2 linked regions of the Mus musculus genome follow. The protein of the gene in region 1 interacts with the protein of each later gene in a pairwise test. Links are inferred from orthologs where the notes say so. Each region holds a gene or a part of one and is shown in the gene's direction. Other genes may lie near its edges.

The links. The genes of interacting proteins can lie anywhere in the genome.
Region 2: the proteins of Sh3gl2 (region 1) and Egfl6 interact in a two-hybrid assay, tested with the Homo sapiens proteins (2 studies listed by BioGRID and IntAct). The link is inferred for Mus musculus from reciprocal best matches to the Homo sapiens genes SH3GL2 and EGFL6.

Annotation. Positions count from the first base shown.
Region 1 is NC_000070.6:85,204,073-85,208,307, forward strand, and holds the start of Sh3gl2 (endophilin-A1), read left to right. Parts: upstream 1-1,383; 5' UTR 1,384-1,504; coding exon 1,505-1,549; intron 1,550-4,235. UniProt on the Homo sapiens protein: Implicated in synaptic vesicle endocytosis. May recruit other proteins to membranes with high curvature. Required for BDNF-dependent dendrite outgrowth.
Region 2 is NC_000086.7:166,522,459-166,526,736, reverse strand, and holds the end of Egfl6 (epidermal growth factor-like protein 6 precursor), read left to right. Parts: intron 1-2,765; coding exon 2,766-2,876; 3' UTR 2,877-3,730; downstream 3,731-4,278.

The DNA of each region.
Region 1 (4,235 bases):
TTGTGGCAGAGAGAAGCGAACCCTGTGGCCCTGATACCAAAAGGTGAATTATTAAGAATTAGCATGTCCCTCCTGCCTAAATCCTCTAACCAATGTTTATCCCAATGCCTCCACGGTAGTTTAGAAATTAGAAAGTACCACAGATTGGAAGGTCTGGGCAGCAGCAAGGACCACAAGACTACAGACCCCTTCCTTCCTTTTGCTTTGCTTTGCAGACTGGAAGGGTATGCTCACTGCTCACTGCTCCGATATTCTGTTGTGCTGTGATTCACAGTAGCAAGGGTGAGTGGTACCCAGCCCGTGTCTAGAATCCCCTTGCACCTGCTCTTCCGTTCATCTTTACTCAAGCTGCAGAAGTCTACTGGCTTCCTTTACACCAGGCAGTAGAGGGGGGGGGGGCGGGAGGGGAACTGTATTTCTAGGAACCCAATCCAGGTCCTGTTGATTCTTTCCACATTCTCCGTAATTACTCTCCTCTTGGCGGCTCATCACTTTGATCCACACATGCAGGTGTGGCCTGCATCTGAGACTCTCCCACAAGCTCTTCCATACAAGACAAACTTGAAGTGGCTGCTCATAAGAGCACAGATTTCTGGTGCTGCTCTGGGCCCTTCACCCAGTCCCATCCACCCTTTGTCCCTATGTGGTGTTTGTATAACTTACTGCCTTTCCTTTCCTCATTATATAAAAATGTTAGAACGAAAAAAAAAAAGAAAGAAAAAAATGTCCATGATAATTGTGTGAATGCCAAGTTCGCATTCGTTTTTTTTTTCTTTTGAAAATAGAAGATTAAATGTTATTACTCATATCAATATATGCTATAGCTCATATCAATTCCATTCCAGTATCCCAGTCAAACTGTAGGGACCTCTCTTCATCTTAAGTAGTTAAGTTGTACTAGAACAGGAAAAAAAAAGTTGATAGATTTCCCTAAGGTGAAACAAGCTTAAGGGATATTAAAATCGAGGCAGAGAAATGTTTTCGGTGGCCAATCATGCGGGAAGGCAGGGCATGAAATGAGCAATAACTTATTCATGATCCAGATAAGCCGCCACCCTGCTTTTCAACCACAGGGAGGCCAGGCTCAAAGGGCAAGGGCAGTGCGCAGGCAGCACCACTGCGGCTACCTGGGAGCTGGGTCACCTGAGTCTAGACTGCCCAAAGGCGGTGATCCCTTTGCCAGGGCCACGAACGAACGACTCCCACAGCTGAAGACAGCCCAGGCTTCGGACCGTGGAGGGACTTTCGCCCCCGCACAGTGCGGGGGTTCCTCGCGCTCACCTGCCTCGGCTTGCGCCCTGGGCGGGGCTTCCCGCGTCCCCTTTAAGAGGCCGCATCACCCGCCCTGACGTCAGGGTGTCTCTCCGCACAAGCCCGCGTCCCGCGCCGCGCCCCCGCGCCAGCAGCTCCCGCGGTCGCACGACCAGCGGCGGCCCGGCGACCCCAGCCGCCTCTCCGCATCTGCATCTGCATCTGCCGGCCGCGCAGCCTCCCGCATCCCATCATGTCGGTGGCAGGGCTGAAGAAGCAGTTCCACAAAGCCACTCAGGTAGGGCGCGTGCAGGTGCGCCATGGGCCGCCCCGCAGACCGACAGACAGACGGCGTCCTCCCCTGCAACCCCTCCCTGTTCTGATCTGGTCCCCGCGGGGCGCTGCGCGGCAGCCTGGCTCCATAACCCGGCTCCCTGTCTCCGATCGGTGCTCGCTCCGCGAGTCTCCTCCCTGGCCGCTGCATCCCTGCTTCCTCTTCCCACTCCGAGTCCCTGTGGTCCCTGCCACTCTAGCACTCAGACCTCAGTTCCCTTCCCCTGGCATCTCTGCTCTCTGTCCCCGCTGTCTCGGTTCGCCGCCCACCGGGTTCCCAGGCAGTTAGTCCCTGCACGGCAGCTCTCAGGCTCTGCACGGAGGGTGCCGCGCAGGTGCTTGGCGGCGCGGCGGGAGATTATGTAAAGTCGCCTCGGTGCGGTGACCTTGCGGTGTGGTGTGCCCCACTGTCCTGGGATGTGCTGGCTGGAGCGAGGTTCGCTCTGGAGGCTGCGGAGGTGCCCGCGCTCTGCGCTTGCTCCAGGCTTTGCGCTCCCAGGCCTTCTCAGAACCCCTCCTTCCCAGGCCTCCCCAGGCTCCCAGCATGGGAGAATGTGGTTCCCCTAAGGAGCATGCATGCATTAACTTTTTTCCCTGGAGAACTCCTTGGTGAAGCTTATTTGAGGCCATGGTTTGATCAGTGGTCTGCAAGTCTTTAAAGTTCTCCCACGGGTTTTACTGCGGAGGCAGTTGTTAAAAACTTGAAAATCACTGTTTACTAGATGTGCCAAATTTTCTGTGTGGGGTAAGCTGAGATTAAAATTTAATCCAGACCCACATAATTTAAATCTCATTGGGCCCAACTCAGTGATTTTACAAAGAGAAAATGTCCAAAAATACTTACGATGTGACCCATTTCTTACATAATGTGTGGAGTTACAACCCTTTTATTCATTTGGAACAGGTTAAATTTTAAGATATATTTAACAAGAAACGACTTTATTGATAAACCGTAAAATACTTTTTGCGTAACCATTTAGCTTTAAAGATCCTTATCCTAAGCTAACCTTAATTGTGTGGCTTCTGTAATTTCTTGTTTTTTAAAAACATTACTTTTATCTTTTTTTACAATCCAGCCACTCCCTTCCCTCTGGGTCCCCCCTCCCACAGTTCCTCATCCCATTTCTCCCTCCTGTCTCCAAGAGGATGTCACGCACACCAGGTCTTCCCACTCCCAGGAATCTCAAGTCTCTCGCACATCTTCTTCCACTGAGGCCAGACCAGGCAGTCCTCCTCTGCTATACATGAGTCTCATTACCGAGTTCACAGCCTCAGTACTATTGCAAAAGGCATAGGGAAAAGGTGAAGACTGCATTCCTCAAGTTTGCTTAAATTAAGGTGCAGGATGACATTCACCCCTGAGCATCATCTCTGTCACCATAGACTTAGCATCATCAAATGAGTTCTGTTGGGAACTAATTTAGGGAGACAGGAAACAGTCATTTTAGGAAGTGCTTCTAACTACATATATATTTGGTTTTCTCACTAGAATTGTCTGTGATCTCCCTATTGGAAAGGTAGAGCCAAGTATATTATTCACTTGATTCTGGCAACTTTCCAGTTTCACAGAACCAATCTGTGCTACCAGTGAATGGCATAGGACTGCCCTGATGTCACCCACCTTATTTATTTATTTATTTATTTATTTATTTATTTATTTATTTAGGTACTTGTCTCATTTCTAATCTAGACCAAAAGACTGATTCTACCAACATTCCTTTAGGAGCCTTGGCTTTGGGGAGGGAAAGGCTAAGATTTGAATCCCTCTTCTGCTACCTAGGAAATTGAGCAAGCTAGTTTTCTGAATCCGTCCTTGCCAAAAATGAGACAAAATTTCTCAGGGGAAAAGTAAGGATAAATGAATTTGTAGAGCATATATAGAAAATGCTTAATAAGTGGTAATTGTTAATGTTAAGGATAATTCCTTTAGCGTTAGGTACCATTCCTTTCCACTGGTAATAACGAGACTTGAGAACCCAGCCGGGGCTTCGATAACACACACAGTAACCATCTGACTCCATTCAGCTCATCCTGAGGTTGTGTGCAGCTCTGGAAGCAGGAAAGAACTGGAACGTCATCGGGGAAGCCCCGTCTCCAGGTGTGGAGGAGTTCTACTAGGGACGGACCTGCTCCTTACCACTCCGAACCCAGATACTGGGTCACTGTTCACTGCCATTCTCTTCCTTTGCTGAAAAGCCTTTTTGTTTTAAAGGTGAAGCAAAACACAATCTCATTCATAGCTTAATGGAGCCTAGTCTTTAAAAACGTAAGGCAAAGGTTACTCTCCTGTGCATGGATGTGTTATTCTAGAGGGTGTGTAACGCGAGGTGGTGTTTGCCTGCTCTGAGCTCTGAGGGAAATGGTCCTGTCCTGCTTTGCAGTCGTTTCCTGAATCTGATCTTTGCTGCAGAGGAAGTGTTAGGCCCCTGACTGCCATGCTGGTCAGAGAAGGCAACATCTTGCCTTTCTGTGGAGCTGAGCTTCCACAGAGGGGTGGGTGGGATTTCATCAATAGAATATGCCTTTAGTGTCAGTACCGTTGGGTTAGGGTTCCTAGTTAGAGTGTGCCCCTATGGTTCTCATATTAGAACTTAATATCTCTCCCTTTCATCAATGGTTACTCTGTAAGTAAATAATTTTTATTGCAACAT
Region 2 (4,278 bases), on another chromosome or scaffold:
GACTCACAACATATTACACACCAGCAAAGTTTGCCCAGATCTTGGTATTCAAAGGTCTGTGTGTGTGTGTGTGTGTGTGTGTGTGTGTGTGTGTGTGTGTGTGTGTGATATGTGTGTGTGTGTCTGTTTGTTAATGTGAAGGCCATGGTTAGGGGCTGAGCCACCTCAGCTATTGTTACTCAGACCTATCCACTTTATTTCCCTAGACAGGCCTTAAACTTGCCAAGTATGGCAGACAAGCTGACAAGCAAGTCTAAGGGATCCACCTTCCTCTGTTTCCTCAGCACTGGAATTACAAGTGCATATCGCTATGCAGAGCTTTTTGACATGTATTCTGGGGATTAAACTCAGGTCCATCTGTTTACAAAGCGAGCACTTTATCACTGAGCTATCTCTCCAAGCCCTCAAAGCTATCCCTATGGGTCTATCTGCCCACATCATTGCCAGCATGGCTGACCTTAGTTATTTGGTCTCCAGCATTCCCAAAGGCTATACTGATATCATGCAACCCAAGGCCCCTATCGTAAATAACATTCTGAACATAGACCATCTGACTTGGCTAAAGGTTACAGGAATATGAAAACACTCTGGACTAAGTAGTTTCAAGGGCTTGGAGGCTGACTCTTAGTAAGCAGTCAAGGGCAAAGCCTTCTTTCAAATGTTGAGCTTTCGGACAACTCAGACCTACTGAGTTAATCTTTTACTGTAGAAATGAGTTTGATAAAGGAAAAGGAAACTCTTTTAAGAGGAAGTTGGTTAATGAATTTGATAAAGAACAAATAGAATAAAATGATGTAGAGTTTGCTGAGTTTGGAGCACCTTGACAAGAGCTGTTTCCTGAAAGAGAAGGGCCAGTAATCACATAATAGAAGAACAAAGAGGGGGCCTGGGTTGCTCAGTTGGTAGAGGAATTGGCTCACATGCACAAAACCCTGGGCTCAGTCCCAGCACTGCATAAACCATGCATGGTGGGGCATGCCAGTAATTATAGTGCTCAGAGATAGACACAGGAGGATAGACAGGGCAAGAGCATCCTTGGATATATAATGGACATCTGTTCTCATATGAACACACACACAGACACACACAGACACACACATCACACACACATACACAGACATACATACACCACACAGAGATACAGACACAGAGACACACACAGACATACACACACACACACATATACACAGACATGCACACACATAGACATGCATACACAGACACACAGAGAGACACAGAAATATACAACACACACACACAGAGACACATACACACACACACATACACACACACACAGGCACAGGCAAACAGACACAGACACACACTCACACACAGAGACTCATACACACAGACACAGACATACACAAAGACACAAATACCACACACACACAGAGACTCATACACAGGGCAAGAGCATCCTTGGATATATAATGGACATCTGTTCTCATATGAACACACACACAGACACACACAGACCCACACAGACCCACACATCACACACACATACACAAACATACATACACCACACAGAGACACACACAGACACACATATACACATACACAGACATGCACACACATAGACATGCATACACAGACACACAGAGAGACACAGAAACATACACCACACACACAGAGAGACACATACACACACACACAGGCACACAGACACACACTCACACACAGAGACTCATACACACAGACACATATACACAGACATACACAAAGACACACATACCACACACACACAGAGACTCATACACACAGACACAGACACACACAGAGATACACATACCACACACACACAGACACACACAGAGAGACACATATACACGCAGACACACACACTCATACACAGACACACACAAAAACACAAATACACCACACACCACCTACACACAGAGAGACTCATACACGCAGACACACACACAGATATACATACTACACACACACAGGCACAGACACACACACACATACACAGAGACTCATACACACACACACACACACCCCACACACATACACAGACACAGACACACACACAGACACATACACCACACACACACATATACAGACACACACAGAGAGACACATATACACACACATATACACAAACACACACACAGAGACACATAAACACACAGAGACACATACCACACACAGAGAAAGACACATACATGCACGCAAATACACAGATGCACATACACACACGTACACACATATTCAGACACACACACACAAGACACATACACACACAGACACACTCATACACAGACACACACACCACTCACACACAGACACACACAGAGAAACTCATACACACACAGACAGAGATATACACACAGACACACACACACACACACACCACACACACATACAGAGACACACATACACAGACACACAGAAACACACACACACGTGTGCGCATGCACTTAAAGAAATAAAATTTAAAAGTAAACAATAAAAGATCTTTCATTGATTTTGCTTCATTTCTTTACATGGCAATTCCAAAAGTTCCCTCTTCAGAATTACAGGACTTTTGAGAATCCTTCAGAGCTTGCTGTGAGCCTATCTTCACTGAACAGAATCCTCACCATGAGAACTTAGCATGTAGGAAACACGTTGGCATACAATCAATATGATTATATGTAATCATATGAAAGGCAATTTCTATACAGTAGAAAGTCAACTTTAGTCCTTGCTAACAGCAGTTCAATAGTTTGCTAACATCATGGCTGGGAAGTAACCTTCTTTTCTCTCTCTGTTCTTAGGTCATTTTTGAAGCAGAGCGTGGCAAAGGCAAAACTGGAGAGATTGCAGTGGATGGAGTCTTGCTGGTGTCAGGCTTGTGTCCCGATGACTTTTTATCTGTAGAAGGTTGACTGTCACTGTCCTCCTTTGTAGCTTCATATGTGGCTTTTAAAATGTCATTTCTCTAGGGTATCTTTTTATATCACAGCCTAGGACTCTTCCATCTTATAATTACAAGCTGACAGTGTACAATGTTCCAACAGAAATATTATCATAACATGCCTTTTTTGTATCAAATGTACTAAGACTTGCCTATATATAGTGCCACTGTGCCTTCTCATTTGTTTCTGAATTTTCCACATTTTATTACAAAATGTAGAAATGCTAGCCCATCTCCCCCTGCCCTATACATTTGCTCTTCCTATATAAGTTGGTGAACTTTCCTATATAACAACATAGAATAACAACAACAGAAAATGATAAGTACAGATAAATGGTTAATTGTTGGGGCTGGGAAAATGGCCCAGTGGTTAAAAGTATTCATTCCTCTCGAGGACCCAGGATCAATTTCCAGCATCCACATGGCAGCTCACAACCATCTGGAACTCCAGTTCCAGAGAATCCAATGCCCTTCTGGCCTTTGTGGAAACTTTCATATGTATGGTATACATGCATACACTACACTACACTACACTACACACACACACACACACACACACACACACACACACACACACATACACACACAGAGTAAATCAATTTCTTAAATTGTTTAACTTTCACGGTACTTCTTGGAAACAATGACATTAAACATAGATTTGTGCCTTTGTGGCTCAGCCTGCTCTTTCATAGTCAAGCTTGCTCATTTAATTTTTTTATAATCATATCCAGTAAACGGCCTTGTGTCATAGTAAGATAAAATGGTATCTTACTGACTCTGTTTACTTATGTGTACAATTCTGGAAAATAAATTTTTTTATTCTATCCACTGTTGAAACACTTTGTCATCTTAAAAATTCTTGAAAATTGATTCAAATGGGCTTGGACGCTTCATGTGGTGGAATGCTTGCTTGGCATGCATGAACTGCTGGCTCACGGACCTGATAAATTGGGAATGATGGTGCCTGCATGAAATCCCAGCAGATTTGAAGGTTAAGGTCATCCTTGAGTACACAGTATGTTTGAGTCTAACCTGAGCTACATGAGACTTTGTCCAAACACACACACACACACACACACACACACACACACACACACACACAACACAGAGAGAGAGAGAGAGAGAGAGGTATCAAATCTCTTCCAGAAGGAAGATACTATGTATATTCACCAAGGCTGTTCACTATACACATAGCCCTGAAAAAATAGTACAGGCAAATCTGTCAATGCCTTTGTGCAAAGAGCACAAGGCACTCATATGGATTCACCAGCTACCATCAGCCTCCTGGCTCTCTGGAATCTAGTAGATGAGTACGACAGCCAGAAAGGTCAGCTAGGAACACTGTCTTCTTACCAGTGAACGATACTTTCACC